Linked DNA regions of Struthio camelus. The main gene of each other region encodes a partner of the protein of the gene in region 2 in a complex. Links are inferred from orthologs where the notes say so. Each region holds a gene or a part of one and is shown on either strand. Other genes may lie near its edges.

Region 1 (8,050 bases), on a different chromosome or scaffold from region 2:
CCTGGTTTTCTAGAGATAACAAGCATGTGAGATCAATGAGGGTGCAGGCAGTATGGGAAGGGACTTCCTAGCTCCCGGTTTTAGCCGCCTCACCTGGGTATCTAGATTAGGGACCTTGTTTGGGGTCAGCCTCTCCAGGGGAGATGCCCTTGTACCCCGCAACTGATGGACTCTGAGCCCATTGGCACTGGCTGGAGGCAAGGACAAGGCTGACCATTGCGCTGGGCCCAGGGAAAGCTGCGTGTGGGTTTGCCTTGGCTACTGAAGAGCAAGAAATCTTCCTTCTTCCTTTGCCCCTTCCAGCATCCGTGGGCCCCTGCTGCGGTCTTTCAAGGGACAGCTGGAGGGAGTGGGGAACGAAGGTCAGGAAATCTTTGGCTATAAAATACTGTTTCCTCTGTTAATAACATCTGACCAACACCAAAAGACAAAGAGGACCAGGTGGATCAGTTTTGCACAGTGACAAGTTGGAGACTTTTTCTTAAAAGAGGGCATAGGGCGAGGGAGCAGAGCGCGGCCACGCAGCCACTGCCGAACACCAGAAGAGGACAGGCTCTCCCAGCCTGAGCAAGGAGGCAGCTGGTGCGACTGAGTCTTACTGCCCAGAGCACGTGAAAGACATGGGACTTCCCAGAGTCGGCACTCAAATTCCTCCTTGTTTGTGGACGGCTGAATTCGGTCTCAGGCACAGGCTGCTGACGCTCGGCTCTGGCTTTCTCCTCCTTATTGCAAAATCGCAGTCTGGCAAGAGTAACAGTGAAGACATCCCACCGCAGCAAAAAAAAAAAAAAAACATCCGCTGAAAAGAATTTTTTTCACATCGCACTCCTGGCAAGAGCTGGAAACCTGGGACCCTGAGGAAAGTCCTCACACCGGATCCCTGAGGGGCCTTCTCCCCATTTAGCTGGGAAGGGGAAGGAGAAAAGGGGATCTCAAGCTGTGACACATATGCCATAAGGCATTTCAACACGGTACATAGCCTACACAGCACCAGGAATTACTGCCAGTGGTGACACAAGCCATTGCTGTTGCCCATGGACAAACCCAGCAAAAAGTTGCTTTGGGAAACCTGCGATGGGGATCTGCCCTGTGTGACCTGAGAGCTTTCAAGATCATTTCATGTAGGTCCCTGCAGAGCTGTTTTACAGTACCCCAGCAGGGTTGTGCCGCCGTGTCTCAAAATTAGGCACTGCAAGCCTTAATGGCTTCATCAAAACTTTCATTTTATTCAGAAACTCAAAGTGAATCGCTCCCCTCGCTTCCCTGCTTCCGTGTTTCTGCCAAATTTCAAGCTTGGACCACTGCAGGCAGCCCTTTACGCTGTCAAAGTAGTACTGAAGTCAGCCACAGTCAAACTTGAGCAGCGAGAAGATAAGGGTGGGATAGAGGTGGCTTTCCAGGAGTCACAGGAGTCCCTTGGTCCCTTGTTTTCCAGCTGCAGGGACACACACCCAGCACAATCAGCGTGGGATTGTCAAGTGCTGCTCGCTGTACATACATAGGCCAATTCTCCATCCCAAGCCTCAGCTAATCCCTTCCCACCCTGGCCAAAGGAAATGCCTTTTCCGCCCCAGCTCTCGTTCCCGTTCGCACGACAGGCACACTCTGTCCCTTTGCTCCGGCCATTGGGAATCCCTTCACGTCCCTCTCTTCCCCTCCCCGCCTCGAATTTGCTGGAAGCAACCATATATGGTGAAAAATGGAGAAAACGGCACCAGGAAGCTACTGGAAGCTCTGCACAAGGCAGCAGCCTCTGGGCAGCCAGGCAGCAAACTCTCGCAGTGCTTTTCAGAGGCGGGAGCCAGTTATCTAGGCTGAGATGATAGACGGGGCAAAGGATGGCTGGCGACAAGAGGAGCGTGATTGCTCCAGGCAACAGCAGCCAGGGACTCCTGGTAACCAAGACCAGGAAATAAAGGCTTTTATGAGTGCTCTTGTGCATCAGGGTTGTGTTACAGGCACGATTCAGATCGATCATGGGCAGGGGGGCAGTTTTCAGCAAAAACCTTACGTTGCTGGTATGGAGCGTGATTTGTGCTGCCCAGTTTCTGCCTCACCTAATCGCTTCCCCATGACCCACTCAACAGCCCCTGCTGTCAGTGAGTCATCTCAGGGCATGGTTTCTAACTCGGCCCTTCCCTGCTCTTCAGGGTTGGGTTATCCCCGACACATCCAGTTAGTCATGCAACTCTCCCTTCCGTCACTAGCCCATGGCCAGCGAGGAGAAGGCTCTGGGCCGCTCTCCCCATCCGCCTGGATGGCACTGGCCCCAGGGCTGACTTTTCCCCTTCCTTGTGTCCACCACCAAGGCTGGAGGGATCCTCCAAGCAACATGTTGCCAGGGGAAAACAAGCTGAGGGGGGGACCGAGGCCTTAAAAAAATTGCTTAGGAGAAGGGAGGAAGCGCCCAAGAGCTGGTCTCTGCCCAAAACCATAACCGGCTTCTCTTTGATATCATTCTTTTTAAAGAGACGTGACATTTTGAAGCTTTTGTTTTACAGGCTAAAATTCCTCTGCGTTTCCAAGTCCCTTGCTTAATCCAGGGTGCTGCTTGCGTGGGAAACCTTGTGAACCGAGTCTCATCCTGAGGAAGTTGCAGCTGCTCCTCCTTCAGTGGAGAGACCACAGAGGCCTTTCCAGTCAGATGGAGGTCAGGGGAGCAAAGGGCAGAAGCTGATGGACAGATAAAAAGAAACTTGGAGAGGATCCAGGCTTTGAAACGTGCCTTGGACCATATCTCTGGCAAGCCGAGGACTTCATCGCCCTTTGACATCGCTGGAATGCATTTGACAGTTGGGGAGAAAGCCACCATGGGCTGGAAGAGCCAGGTTGGAGACCTCTTTCTTGGGAGACCTGCACCGAGGGAAACCAGAGACGGGGAGCGCAAACACGGATCCCAAAGGAACGCAAGGGTGCGAGCGGGCCAAGAACCAAATTGAGGTCTTTGGGATCGCGTATCCCATAGCTGGCAAGGCTGCAAAGAGAGCTCGGCTCGTTTCGCCAAATTAGAGCAAATCCGTAATTCTTGTGAGCCCGGGGACCTTCTCCCTAGCAAGGGACAACGGGGAGAGCTTGTCAGGACCAGACCTGCAGCAGGAAAAGGCGCACGTCCTCCATTGCGCACCTCACTGCAAAAGAGTTCTCTAGCAGCGAGGAAATTTGTCCTGCAGTTTGGCAGGCGATCAGCTTACACCCCGCAAGTTTATCTGACCATTTTTATCAGTTTATGCTAACAGGTGTGAATTAACTTTGAGGGACGGAGAGGAGGGCAAAGAAATAAAAGCACGGCGCGCGGCAGAAAGGCACGGACAAACAAGCGCCATATCAGAGGGCAAAGGACAACCGAGACAACACCGAACAAAAACACATCCCTTTCCTCGGCGGGGGGGAAGGAAGGTCTTTAGAGTCCCCCCCCACCCCACACACACACCCTGTTTCCACTCCTGCCTTTTTATGGCTCATTTAGTGGCTCCAGAAATATTACCCTCCCGTTTCCTCCCCTCTCCATGCCTGCTTTCCTGAACTGCGAAAGCATTAATCGCTCTTAAAACCCATGACAAAACAGCCTGTCGGGGAGGAACGTGTGTGCTCAGCACGACCACGCACAAATTACAATTCAAGGGTTTCTCCCAGTTAAAAGCCCCACGGGGCAGCGACACGGGTGATACGGTGTCACCCGCTCCCCAAATCCCTGCCGGGGGTATGGGGGCAAGGAGCGGGGGGTCTGCCCTTGACACGGCTCGAAACATCCCGAAGCGGAGTGGGGGGGGGGGACACGAAAGAGGGTGTAAGATGTCCCCTTTTGGCAGATGACGGTCCGATGAGTAATTCTGCTAAAACTCCTGGTGGGGAGGGGGACGTGGCTGCCCCGGGGGGGTGTCACTGGGGGTTTGGGGGGTGGGGGCCACCCTGGAGGGATGGAGATGGACTGAGAGGTGTCCCCCCCCCCACAGGGTGAGGCTTTCTCTTCTCTACCCCAATCCTGCCCTAATTCGCCCCAAATTACAGTGGGGGGAAGCAGAAGGGGGGCTGTGGAAACGCCACAGCTCACTGGGGGTTTGGGGGGGGGGGTCACAGACAGCAGCGGGGGTGGGGGCCACCCTGGAGGGATGGGGACAGACTGAGAGGTTCCTCCCCCCCCCCCCCAGGGTGAGGCTTTCTCTTCCCTTCCCCAATCCTGCCCTTATTCGCCCCAAATTACGGTGGGGGGAAGCAGAAGGGGGGCTGTGGAAACGCTGCAACTCACCGGGGCTTTGGGGGGGTGGGGGCCACCCTGGAGGGATGGGGACGGACTGAGAGGTTCCCCCCCCCACAGGGAGAGGCTTTCTCTTCCTTACCCCAATCCTGCCCTTATTCGCCCCAAATTACGGTGGGGGGAAGCAGAGGGGGGCTGTGGAAACGCCGCAACTGCCTGACGGGGGGGGGGTGTGGAAATGCCCCCAAACAGAGCTGGGGGGGGGGAAACACCCTCAGTGGGGTGAGGGGAGCCCCAGAGCCCTGTGAGGACCGCCCCAGTTCAACCAGTACCAGAGAGCCCGTCACAGTACGGCTCGTCCTGGCCGCTGCCCCCGAGCCCGCGCATCATGAGGGGGGGCTCAACCCCCCCCCCTCCCGCCCTGCCGTCCCCACAAGGAACATTACATCCTGTTCCCCGCTCACCACTGGCTCCCGCCTCCCCCGTCCTCGCTCGCCATTGGCCAGCCGCGCCGTCACTCCGTCCCCTCTCCCACTCTTGCACCCTTCCATTCTCCCGCCCTCCTGCCTGCTTCTCCGCCGCACACGCTCTCCTCTCCTTCACAAGCTGTCCACGCTCCGCACCCGGCGCGCCGATTGGCCGGCGGGGGTGTAAACAACGCGGCGGCGACCAATGGGAGCGCTGATCACGCGAGCAGCACGCTTGGCCATGCGCCCTCGGCGTGGCGCTCTTGTCATCAACAAGTGCGGGAGGGGGGAGGGCGGGGAGGCGGAGGCTATAAAAGGCCGCGTCCGGCGGGGGCCGGGCTCACACCGTTGAGGGCCGAGAGCGGAGCGGCGGGCTGCAGCAGGCGGAGGCAGCGCATCCCTTCTGCCCCACAGCTGCTAGGGAGGAAAAGGTTGACCTTTAGACTAAATTCTGACTAAAAATCAACCTTCCCGAGGTATTTTTTCCCCTCGGTTGTTGCCGTTGAGGGGGGGAAAAAAAAGCACAAAAACTGCCCAGCGTGCGCAGCTCCTTGCCTCGTCCTCAAGAGCGTCTCCCACCCTTCACCTCAGCCATGGTGATGTTCAAGAAAGTCAAGACCTTCCTCGTGGCTTTCAGCGAGCCTGAGAAGGTCTACTGCAGTGGGGAGAAGGTGGCAGGGCGCGTGGTGGTGGAGGTGGCTGAGGTCACCCGCGTCAGCGCCGTCAAAGTGCTGGCCTGCGGCGTGGCCAAAGTCAACTGGGCCAAGGGCCCCCAGCAGTGCAAGCAGGAGATGGAGTACCTGCGCTTCGAGGACGTGCTCACCCTGGAGGAGCAGCCCACTGGTGAGGACCTGGGGCTGGGAAAGGAGGGGTTGGGGGCAAAAGGTGGTGGGGAGCGGGCGGGGAGTGGGTTGGAAGTAATCACCAGCTTTGCCTGCTGGTTGTTGCCCTTCCGCAAGGGGCTGGGTTGAGTCTCCTGGTTGTGCCCGCATTGACGGGGCTAAAGCAGAAATGCTACTTTGAAGAGTTGGCATATTTGGCTGGTGAAAGGAAAAGGGAATTTAATGTTGGCCAAGTGAACTGGTTGAACCCTTGGAAACGGATGAAGGGCAAAACAGGACTCAGCTAGGCTGCAGGTTAGAGTTGGAAAACTTAGGGCTGCTGTGCTCTATCCGGAGCCCGAAACAAAAGTGAGATGGGGTGCTTGTCGGAGCGTACAAAAGACGTTAGGCATTGATGCGGCTGGCTTGGCTTGCCCAACAGGCAGTGATGCTCTGTGCCTGCAGGGAACGAGTACTGAGATTGGCTTTGGCCGGATGTCACTGTGGCAGGAGGTGCCTCTGAGTTCAGTACAGTGGCTGGTACAGTGCACGGGACAGGTGGTCAGAGAGCGGCAAGTCCAGATCTTGTCTGAGCCAAAGAGTCTCAGTCCCTTCCCTGCCTTTATCGCCCTCCCTGTTTGGCTGGCTCTGGGGAAGGCAGAGATAAGCACTTGGCAGGGTGTCTTGGAAGATAAGTGGGGAGACGTGAAATCCTCAAGGTAAACAGATAGTTGGGGAAAGAAGTTAGTACTTTGTACTCCCAGAAAGTGGAAGTAGGATGCGGTAACCAGAGGTAACAGGGTCTGAACTAAAGCCAATCAGGACTTTGTGCCCTGGTTTCAAATGAGGATGTTGAAAGAAGAAGTGAAAGTGTAGTTTAGCAGTACTTCCCTGCCCTGCGAGGACACCAGGTTCTCAGCCTGTTCTTAGGGAACAGGTGTGGGTGGCGCTTACCAAAGAACTAATAGAGCTCTTAATGCCTGCAACACCCGGACTTCATCATAGCCTGTGTAAGCAGAACAGTGGATAATGCTTAGAGCAATACTGCTGGACTTTACCTAATATCTCTCTTCTCCTTTTCTTTTCTCAGATGGGGATGGCTCTGTAATCCTGAGACCTGGAAACAAATATGAATACAAATTTGGATTCGAGCTTCCCCAAGGGTAGGTATTAGACCAGCATTGTCTGAACAAAGTAAAAAAAAAAAGCCTAACCTTAAATTCCTATGGAAAACTGTCTTGTTAGCTCCAATGTGTCTAACAAGTGTGTCTTTTCATAGGCCTCTGGGTACCACCTTCAAGGGAAAGTATGGCTGCGTGGATTATTGGGTGAAGGCTTTCTTGGAGCGCCCATCCTTTCCCACTCAGGAGATAAAGCAGCGCTTTGAGGTTATGGATCCTGTTGATGTGAACACTCCAGAATTACTGGTAAGTGCCAGTTTGTTTTGCCACCTCTGAGAGGTTTGGGTGTCAGTTAGCATTAAGGGATACAAAGGTCCTTAGGTAGGGTCAGTCTGACCTCTGTGGTTAAGACTCCCCCTAATAGGCTTTACTCTTCAGCACAGATTAAATACTTAGTTCTGAAGAACTCTCTAGAAGGCTACACTGAGGCAGGTAGAAGTGAGGCACTGGTTCTGCATTCAGTTAACTGAAAGACACTCAGTCCTCATGGGGAGTGGCAGCGTGAATTTGAGGAAGCTTGAATCACAAAACAGGAGAAGGTGAAGCTCAGGGCTGGAGAGGAGGAATGGGTTGGGAACACCGGGCAGGTTTCATCTGGGTAACGATCTTATTTCTTTTCAGTCTCCAGTTGCTGCCAAGAAGGAGAAGAAGGTGTCCTGTATGTTCATTCCTGATGGCCACGTGTCAGTCAGCGCCCAAATTGACAGAAAGGGATTTTGTGAAGGTAAGAGCCTGTCTCCCCCCCTTAGAAAAGGGAAGGAGCGGGAGCAAAGGGTGAAGGGACAAGCAGTACCTGAGCAAAGGGGCAGTAGTCAGGGGATGTTTAACTAGAAGATCAGTGAAAAACAACAAATACACTTCAAGGAAAAAGTTCTGACCTTCCTAATGCAGAACATCATTCCCTCCTCAGGTGATGAGATCTGCATCAATGCAGACTTTGAGAACACTTGCTCCCGGATTGTGGTGCCCAAAGCAGCCATCATTGCCAAGCACACCTACCTGGCCAATGGGCAGACCAAGGTGTTCACCCAGAAACTCACCTGTGTCCGAGGCAACCACATCATCTCAGGCATGTCCGAGTCCTGGCGAGGCAAAACCATCCGTGTCAAGAAGCTCAAGCCGTCTATCTTGGGCTGCAACATCTTGCGCGTGGAGTATTTCCTGCAGGTGAGTGTCTCTGATGGCTGCTATTGCTCCTCTCATGGTTAGTGGGTAAGCTTTGTCTACGGTTGGTTTCTGTCGTTGCTAACGGCATTCTGGTCTGTACCTTGCAGATCTATGTCAGTGTCCCAGGCTCCAAGAAGATCATCCTGGAACTGCCCCTTGTCATTGGCAGCCGGTCAGGCATTGGTAGCCGCAGCTCCAGCATGGCCAGTCAGACCAGCT
Region 2 (7,901 bases):
CTTTTCCTACTAATACTTTTCTATATCTCAAGTCAAAGTTATCAGTTCAGATTTTAAAGGCAATTAGAAATGGACACACTCTGATGTGGTATTAGAAATAGACACACTCTGACATGGTATTTTTATCTTCATGAGGGAAATCGTGAGTTCAGACTCTGATAGCAAGGCAGAACAACAACAATTCTCTTACAGATGGTAACTTCAAAATAAGAAGTCTGATTTTAAATTATTAATCACTTGCTGGAATAATTACCTAGCTGACAAAGACCGTAGAAGACTTATTTCTAAAGAAGACTTACTTTACAGTTGTTTATAAAGTGCTTTAAAATCTGATAATGAAAAATGCTGTGAAAAATGAAATAGTCATGCATTTATTAATGATGAGCTTTACAAAGCCTTCAATCAGGTAGAAGTGTTAAGCTACTGTTAAAGATTTAAAATAGCTCTTCAGCTAATGGATGCTGGTGACTACTGATGACATCTGATGACTACTCAATACTCATTGTATGATATTTGCTTGGGGCTGTGTCTGTCCCCAGGTGGATAAGCATAAACTGTTTCCATGGACAGATGGTCGCTGTGGTCTCTTCAGTACCAGGACTGGCTTTATGTTATCAACTTATTTAGTATTAGTGGACGGAGATCCTAACCCACAGTGGACAAAAACTTTGTGAAACTCAGCAATGACAAATGCACAGTCCTGCCCTGGGAGGGAATAACCCCATGCAGCAGGACACGCTCTGGGTGACTGCCTAGAGCAGTTCTGTATAAGAGGCCCTGGGATCTTGGTGGACAACAAGTTGAGCAGGAGTCCAGTGCGCCACTGTGGCAAAGAAGGCCAACCACATCCCCGGCAAGCATGCAGCCAGCAGGAATTTGGCAGTGATAACATTCCTTCTGCAGTGATGTGTCCAGTTTGAGCTCCCCAGTATAAGACAGACACTGACATACTGTTGCGAGTCCAACAGAGGCCACCGAGATGATTGGGGCTGGAGCACAGGATTTAGGAGGAAAGGCTGAGCCAGCGGGGTCTGTTCAGCCTGGAGAAGAGAAGGTGAAGGGGGATCTTACCGCTGTCTGCAACTGCCTGATGGGATGGCGCAGAGAAGACAGAGCCAGACTCTTTATGGAAGTGCACAGGGACAGGACAACAGGCAACAAGTAAAAGTTCCTACAAGTGAAATTCCTGATTAGATGTAAAGAAAAAAATATTCAATATGTGGGTGGTCAAACACTGGACCAGGGGCACAGACAGTCTGTAGGATGTCCCTCCTTGGAGATAGTTAAGTCTCAACTGGACAAGGCCCTGAGCAACATCATCTAAGTTGGACCTAGACTGAGCAGGAGATTGGCCTATTGCCTATAGAGGCCCCTTCCTCCCTAAATTATTCTGTATTTCTGTGATTCTGTGACTGGGTTTGTGTGTGCTAAAACTAACATTAAAACAAAAATAAAAAATTGAGCATTAAATACTTGCCAAAGAGTTGAGAAATCTGGATTATCTTTCCAACTCTGCCAGTGACTTGCTGTGCATTCTTGAGCAAATTATGTAATCTTGGAAAGAACAGGCTTGTCATCTGTGAGGTCCACGGGGACCTGTCGGGTGGGAGTGGAAAAAGAGAGTGAATGAAGGCAGAGTCCATATTAGGAGATGGGATACAATACTCTCAGGATAAGAGAATAAGAGCAGGTCCGGTGCTTCTGTTATGGGGTCTAGTCCCAGCCCCCTAGCTGAAGGATCCTGAGGCTTTGAGGAATCAGAGAGAGCAATCCCCATTTACAGACTCCTGTTCAAAAATCTGATAGAAATGCGATACTTCAGTGATACTGCAGTATTTTTTATTACCACAACATGAAAGATTCAGACATGGAAGTGATTCATACAGCTCTACACAATACAGACGGTCATCCTGAGTGGTTTCCCAGTCAACTCCAAGCAGCAATAGCACTAACCCACTGTGCTAGATATGGCTGTAACAACACAGTCAAGACCACACTAGTGATTTGAATATTATTATTTACAATAGCATCTAGAGGCCCAACTGAGAAAAAAGCACTGTATATATTTTGCTAGGCCACAAGAAATAATCATTCTCCCAGAGACCTTAAAATCTAAAGAGATAGGACTGACAAAGAATGGGAAAAAATATCATCAACCATCTGTATTATCTCTCCGAAAACAGTTCACAGAAGCTTTGTTTGACCATATCAAGTCTAGCAAATGTGAAAAGCTAAAAGGTTTGTACAGCTTTCCCGAACTCCTTTTTACAAGATCATTCTGACAGTTGTTGCAAACTTTCTCAGTCTGTTGGGGTTTTTAGCAGTCAAAACGAAGCTTTGACAGAGAATAGCAAGAAAATTCCACTCTGTCTCAGTATCTTGCAGTAATCAAAACCTCAAGTATAGCGAAAAAAAAAATCAGCCTTCTCCTTTCCCCAAATAAGTAAAAAGCAGCAGAAATTGTAAGGAGCATATGAAAGAATAGGTAAACTCTTAGATATGCAGCTCTTCTGCTGCTCCATTAAATTCGTTTGTGCTTGCAACATTGTTCTAGTGTTAATTCATTATTTGATGTTCCAGTTCACTGATAGAGCCTGACTTTTAACAGAAAAAATGATCTCTGGGTGAGTCTGAATGTAAAGATTGCATTAAGTTCATCTTGTCCTGGCAAGCATGAACTAATCGGTAGTCTGTGCACCTAGAATGTGTTTTCTTTCTCATTACTTTTACAGAGCAGCCAGCACCAATGTAACTTGATTTGAGTATCAGCAGGTTAAAAAGATTAGGGTTGCCGAGGCTGAACAGTAACACTTTTCTGAAATGCCAGTTACAGAAGGAGGAAAAAATTCTTACAAAGAGGGAAATTGAGTGGTGTCCTTGAAAAGAGCCACTGGATGTATTTAATCTACCTCTGCTTTAGCAACCTGTACCTTGGAAACCTAAAAATTAGCAAAACAGAAGTAGGGACTGCAAACGGCCAAGCTGCCCAAGCAATATATGCACATCTGTTGAAGTCTATAGGAGTCACACATACATGTGTTTGTGGCAGCATTTAGCTTTTTTCTGCAAACATTAAACTTCCACTAATGTCAACAAGAATTCAGATGCCTGGGAACATGCTTATTGTTGTCATGTTCCTACAGTTTTGGGAATCAAACTACAGGTACTCTGCAAAAACAAGCCCAATGTTATATATCAGCTGTGGGACAGAACAAATACACTGTAAAGGAAACCCAGCTCTGCAGATGTGGAACTCCAGCTAAGATCGGCAATAAGGATGTGTACCACAGCAGCGGATGAGAGGTGACTGCTTAAATAGATGATGCATGAGAGAGAAACTCCACATGTGTAATACTTGCAGAAATTCATTTTTATTATTATTTGAGTGGACCACTGTAAATAAGTAACTGTAAATATGTGTATGCGTATGTGTAGTCAAATATCTGTAAAGGAATGTGAAAACTTAAAGGTGCATGGAAAGACGCTATTGGAAAAAAAAAAAAAAAAACTCCCAACATTTCTTTCAGCCATTCAGTTTGTTTGCTTCTTATACCGGGTTGTAACCTCGTCTTCAAACCTGCTTCCCAGGGACGTACATTTTTCTGACAAATGCCCACGCTCTTCTGACTTCTTGGTACTTACAGACTCTGAGTCAGCAGCAGGGAGGGTTCTGTGCTGAAATGAAAGTGACTGCTGTGTTTGAAGTCATATGCATGTTTACCTTGCTCTGCCATAACTGGGGATTGCTAATTGGCATTGAAAGGTAATTATTATTCTGCCAAGGGAAAACAAGCTGAGCTGTTTTCCAGCTTAGGCCCTCCCCAGTAGAAATGCTAACTGAAGTCTAGCTGTGGGATCTTTACGAAGGGAGTTCATGTGCAAGCTAGGGAAGACAAGTTGACTTTTCAGATCCCTAGGAGTTACCAAAAACCCCCTCCGACCTTTGCACTTGTAAAGTGAGCAGTTTTACTAAAAAATTCGTGAGGATCTGCTCCCGCTTTTTGAAAATTACGAAGAGCCTTTTTCTCTCATTTCGGAGCAGGGGAACTGAACTTGCAAATCCCACTTTTAAAAGAGGAAGCGTTTTGCTGCTTTCTCTGTGCTCAGTTACGCAATTGTGCGTTCCAGTTGTGCAAAAACAGTCACTTTAAACAAGAAAGGCTTTTATACCAAGATTAAATGAGACAAATGTCAGCAGCGGGCACGTCTCACAGCGCCTGCTGCTGCTTGACGGGGAGGGGGGGGACGCGGACACTCGGGTCACGCAGCGCAGCGCTCCCGCCCGCGCCATCGCAAGCGGCCCGGCCGAATCGGCGTGTGCTGGAGCCACCCAGAGCCACGGCTGCCCCCAGTGCGTTAAGGCACTTGTATAACTTCAGACTAGCGTTAGCCTCGCGCCCAGGGTGGTCAGCACGACTTTTAGACATTTTCGAGCATTTTTCAAGTACGTATGTATCTGTACGGCCGCACAGGTGTCTTCATGCGCGCGCACAGCTGTGGCGCGGGCAGGGGGAGCAGGCCCAGGCGGGTGGAGGGTCTCTGCTGTTTGCGGAGCCTCACCGGAGCGGAGCGGTGCCGCCCGCCCCGGCCGCGCGCTCCCGCGCGCTCCCGCCGGCTCCGTGCCGCCCGCCCCGGCCGCGCGCTCCCGCCGGCTCCGTGCCGCCCGCCCCGGCCGCCCGAGGCCTCCAGCCGCTCCCGCCCGCGTCTCCCCTCCTCAGAACGGAACGCCGACGCGCGCATGCGCGGCGCCTGGCGCGGCGCACGCCGGGACTTGTAGTCAGCGCGCGGCCGCGGCCCCTGGGCGACTCCGCGCGTGCGCGCGACCCGCCCGACTTCGGAAAGTCGCTGCCTCAGGTTGGGTCAGAACCGGCTGCCATCTTGGCCGACGGACGGAGGAGCTGCTACGCCGCCGTGCCCGGTGAGGGGAGCGGGACGTCCGCGCCCTGCGGGGAGGCGGCAAGGGCGCAGGAGGAGGCGGCGGCGGTGGTGGGAACGGGACCCCGCGGGGCGGCGCGGGCCGAGGCCTTGGCCCCGCTGCTCTCGCCGGCTCGCAGCTCGGCGCGGAGCCGGCGGGGCGCGGGGGCCCCGGCGGGCGTAGGCCTGGCTTCTCGGGGGGCTTCTCGCCCCCAGCCGGCCTCGCTGCGGGGGGCCCTGCCCTGCCGCCGCGCTGCCTCGCCGTGCCCCGGCGGAGGCAGCTCTCGCGACGGGGGGCGGGACGGCACGGGACGGCACGGCAGCATCGTCGCTGGCCCGGGGCACCGGGTGGCGGTCCCGGGGCCCCGGCGCTCCGCCGCGAGGGCTGCCTGCGGCCGGGCCCTGCTCCGGCGCTGCCGGCCCGCGCCGCGCGGCCCAGCTGCGGTGGGGCCGCTGCCCGTAGCCCGGCCCGGGGCGGCCGTTTCCCACAGCACTGCGTGCTTTGCCCCGGTTCTCTGCTATCGGGTTTGCTCCCCTCCCCGGTCAGTCCCTGCCTTCCTTGCCGCTGAGATCCGTCCCTACACTGTAGCCCTCTGAGGGCTTTGGGGACTCGCTCCCGTCAGAGGCTTTGCTTTCCGGCAGAGCTTCCGCGCCGCAGCCCTCTCTCCAGCCTTTGTGCTCAGCCCTCCCCGAGGAGCCCGTCCCTGCTCTTGGGGTCCCTGCCTAGGTGAGGCTGCTGCTGCCGCCGCCGTTTTGCAGGGGTTCACTTTGTCTCCTCAAGGTACACTCGTGGCTTAAAGTAGTGATCCCGAGCGGCAAAGCGTGAGCATAGCTGGAGGTTTATACTGAACTGTGTTCCTTCTTGTAAACATAGCCGACTGGCAGCACTGGTGCCACCGTTTTATTTTGGAAACATTGATAAGTTCTGGCTGTTAACCCTCCCACTTCCAGATGGGTGTCTTTGACCTTGTGTGGCAATAATAGCCAAGTAAAAGGAGAAGAAGAGGTTTATGTAGATAAAGGCTGCCTTTGTTTAGTTGGCTCTGAAATCCGAGGATTTTTGTTTTAATAGCTATAATTTGTCACCCAAAATTGACAATTTCAGATGTGTGTGTGTGATGCGGAGAGAAAAACGAGTGGAGTACGTGGATGTATGTTGTCATTTGTATGACTTCCTTTACCCTTCAAGCTTCAGAAAATGTCCCCAGCAAAACTAATCTTTATAGCTTAGTTAAAATTGAAGAAATCAGAAACCAGAGCCTTCTAGACTATCTTTTCGCAAGATATTATTGTTTATTTTGGCGAGTTTCTCATTGCTTTCTTCCATCTCTGCTACCTTGTCACTTCTATTCATAGAGAAAAGCAGAGAATTCTGGACTGATATTCATGAGAAGATAGTCAGTATGACAGTAGATCCAGCCACTGAATCTATCTGAAAAAGGCATAGATGTTTAGGAATGAAGCATCAAACGGAATCTGTCATCAGCTCTCAGAAACTTAATGCTGTAAAATGCATCTTGTTTGAAAACACGAATTTAAGGCTCTGTTCTCTCTTCTTACAGTGAAAGTCTAAAGCAGTTCTGATTTAATTACAGTTACGTTGCTCTTTGCTACAGCTGTTTAAATCTGAACTTGGTCTAGTGTGCATTCTTAGTTGTGGTTTGACTGACAGTTTTAATCACCACTCTGAATGCATTCACTTCCAAGCAATCATCGGAATAATATGCAGCATTCTGATCCTAAGTGAATTTTCTTATCTTTTAAGCAAAGAACTGATCCAATACATGTGAAAGATGGTGTTGCAGTGGAAAATCACTGAGACTTCTGAGTGCTAACTTTGAAAGCTTCTTACAGATTAAACAGTTATTTTAGTGCTTAAGAGAGACTGAGAGAAGATTATTTATATGAATTTATTACTTAAGCAACATCACCTCACTTTTATTTCACTCTTATCTCTGCCTGTGTAAAGTTCTGTTTCTTCTGTGGTGAAACAGACCTGAAATATGAAGCTGTCTTGTTTATTTGTTTAAAAGTTTCAAAAAGGTTTGGGGAAGCTATCAGCAGAATAAGCGAGGTAATAGGAGGATATGTGTTAAGTAGCATAATGTTCTCTGTTGTAGAGGTTACATCTATCACTGTTTTTAAGAAAGCTTGTCCTTAGGACTGCTTTAAAGCTAGATGTGCTTCTTCAGTGTTTTGCAAAATAAATGTATATCCTTCTATTTTGTGGCATACCCAATAGTTAAATCACTTCTCAACAGTCTTACCAGTTCATGTCTGTTGATGATAGCATCCAAACAAACATTTTGTAAATTTGAAGTTGTTTAAGCAAAGCTCTAAACTTATTCAACCATGGTAAAATGCTTTTCATATTGCAGCAGAAAACAATTTTATCTCTGCTTTAAAACAAGGAAAATAATATATTAAGTTAGAGGAGAAAAACTCATTGTAAAGGATAATGATGAGACTTCTGCGAGTACTACCACTGTTGCTACTTATTTTTAAGCCTCACTGTTTGGCTATCCAGTTATGCTTACTTAATGTTCTAATTTTTGTCAGTCTGCTTTATTTAGATCTAGAAGGAGGAACTACTTTGTGCCTTTACACCTAAGAAGAGGGAACGTGCGTGCGTAGCTGAGAGGAGAGCATTTATATAGCTTTGCCCAGCTATAGAAGTGCTTTGAAGAGTGTGTTTGCCTCAGAAGAGGAAGTAGACAAGCTGTGATTATAATCTTGCTCGAGAGTATTCTGTTTTTCTAGATATTTACTTTATGCTAGCTCATAAAATGAGTATTTTTAAAGGTTTTAGGCAATCTACTTGCTTGTTTTCATTCTTTAGCTATAGTTTGAATTATCTGATTCTGTGCCCACGTTTTAGAGATGGAGAGGTGATTTTTATTTACTCTCATCCAGATAATAAAGCAATAAGGACTCGAGCATTTTTTGTAAGTGCCTAGCACTGTGGTCTTACTTATTATAGTGCAGAG

What was found.
Region 1: the proteins of ITCH (region 2) and TXNIP are in contact, whole or in part, in a crystal structure (PDB 5CQ2), measured with the Homo sapiens proteins. The link is inferred for Struthio camelus from reciprocal best matches to the Homo sapiens genes ITCH and TXNIP. Residues at the interface, in NP_001244066.1 of Homo sapiens: Glu485, Arg487, Thr489, Tyr495, Val497, Asp498, His499, Arg502, Thr503, Thr504, Thr505, Tyr506, Leu516; in NP_006463.3 of Homo sapiens: Pro328, Glu329, Ala330, Pro331, Pro332, Cys333, Tyr334, Val337, Ile338.

What each region holds. Positions count from the first base shown.
Region 1 is NC_090971.1:3,047,429-3,055,478, forward strand, and holds the start of TXNIP (thioredoxin-interacting protein), read left to right. Parts: upstream 1-4,998; 5' UTR 4,999-5,255; coding exon 5,256-5,505; intron 5,506-6,573; coding exon 6,574-6,646; intron 6,647-6,762; coding exon 6,763-6,910; intron 6,911-7,285; coding exon 7,286-7,388; intron 7,389-7,574; coding exon 7,575-7,831; intron 7,832-7,938; coding exon 7,939-8,050. UniProt on the Homo sapiens protein: May act as an oxidative stress mediator by inhibiting thioredoxin activity or by limiting its bioavailability.
Region 2 is NC_090959.1:3,742,949-3,750,849, forward strand, and holds the start of ITCH (E3 ubiquitin-protein ligase Itchy homolog), read left to right. Parts: upstream 1-4,830; 5' UTR 4,831-4,918; intron 4,919-7,901. UniProt on the Homo sapiens protein: Acts as an Acts as an E3 ubiquitin-protein ligase which accepts ubiquitin from an E2 ubiquitin-conjugating enzyme in the form of a thioester and then directly transfers the ubiquitin to targeted substrates.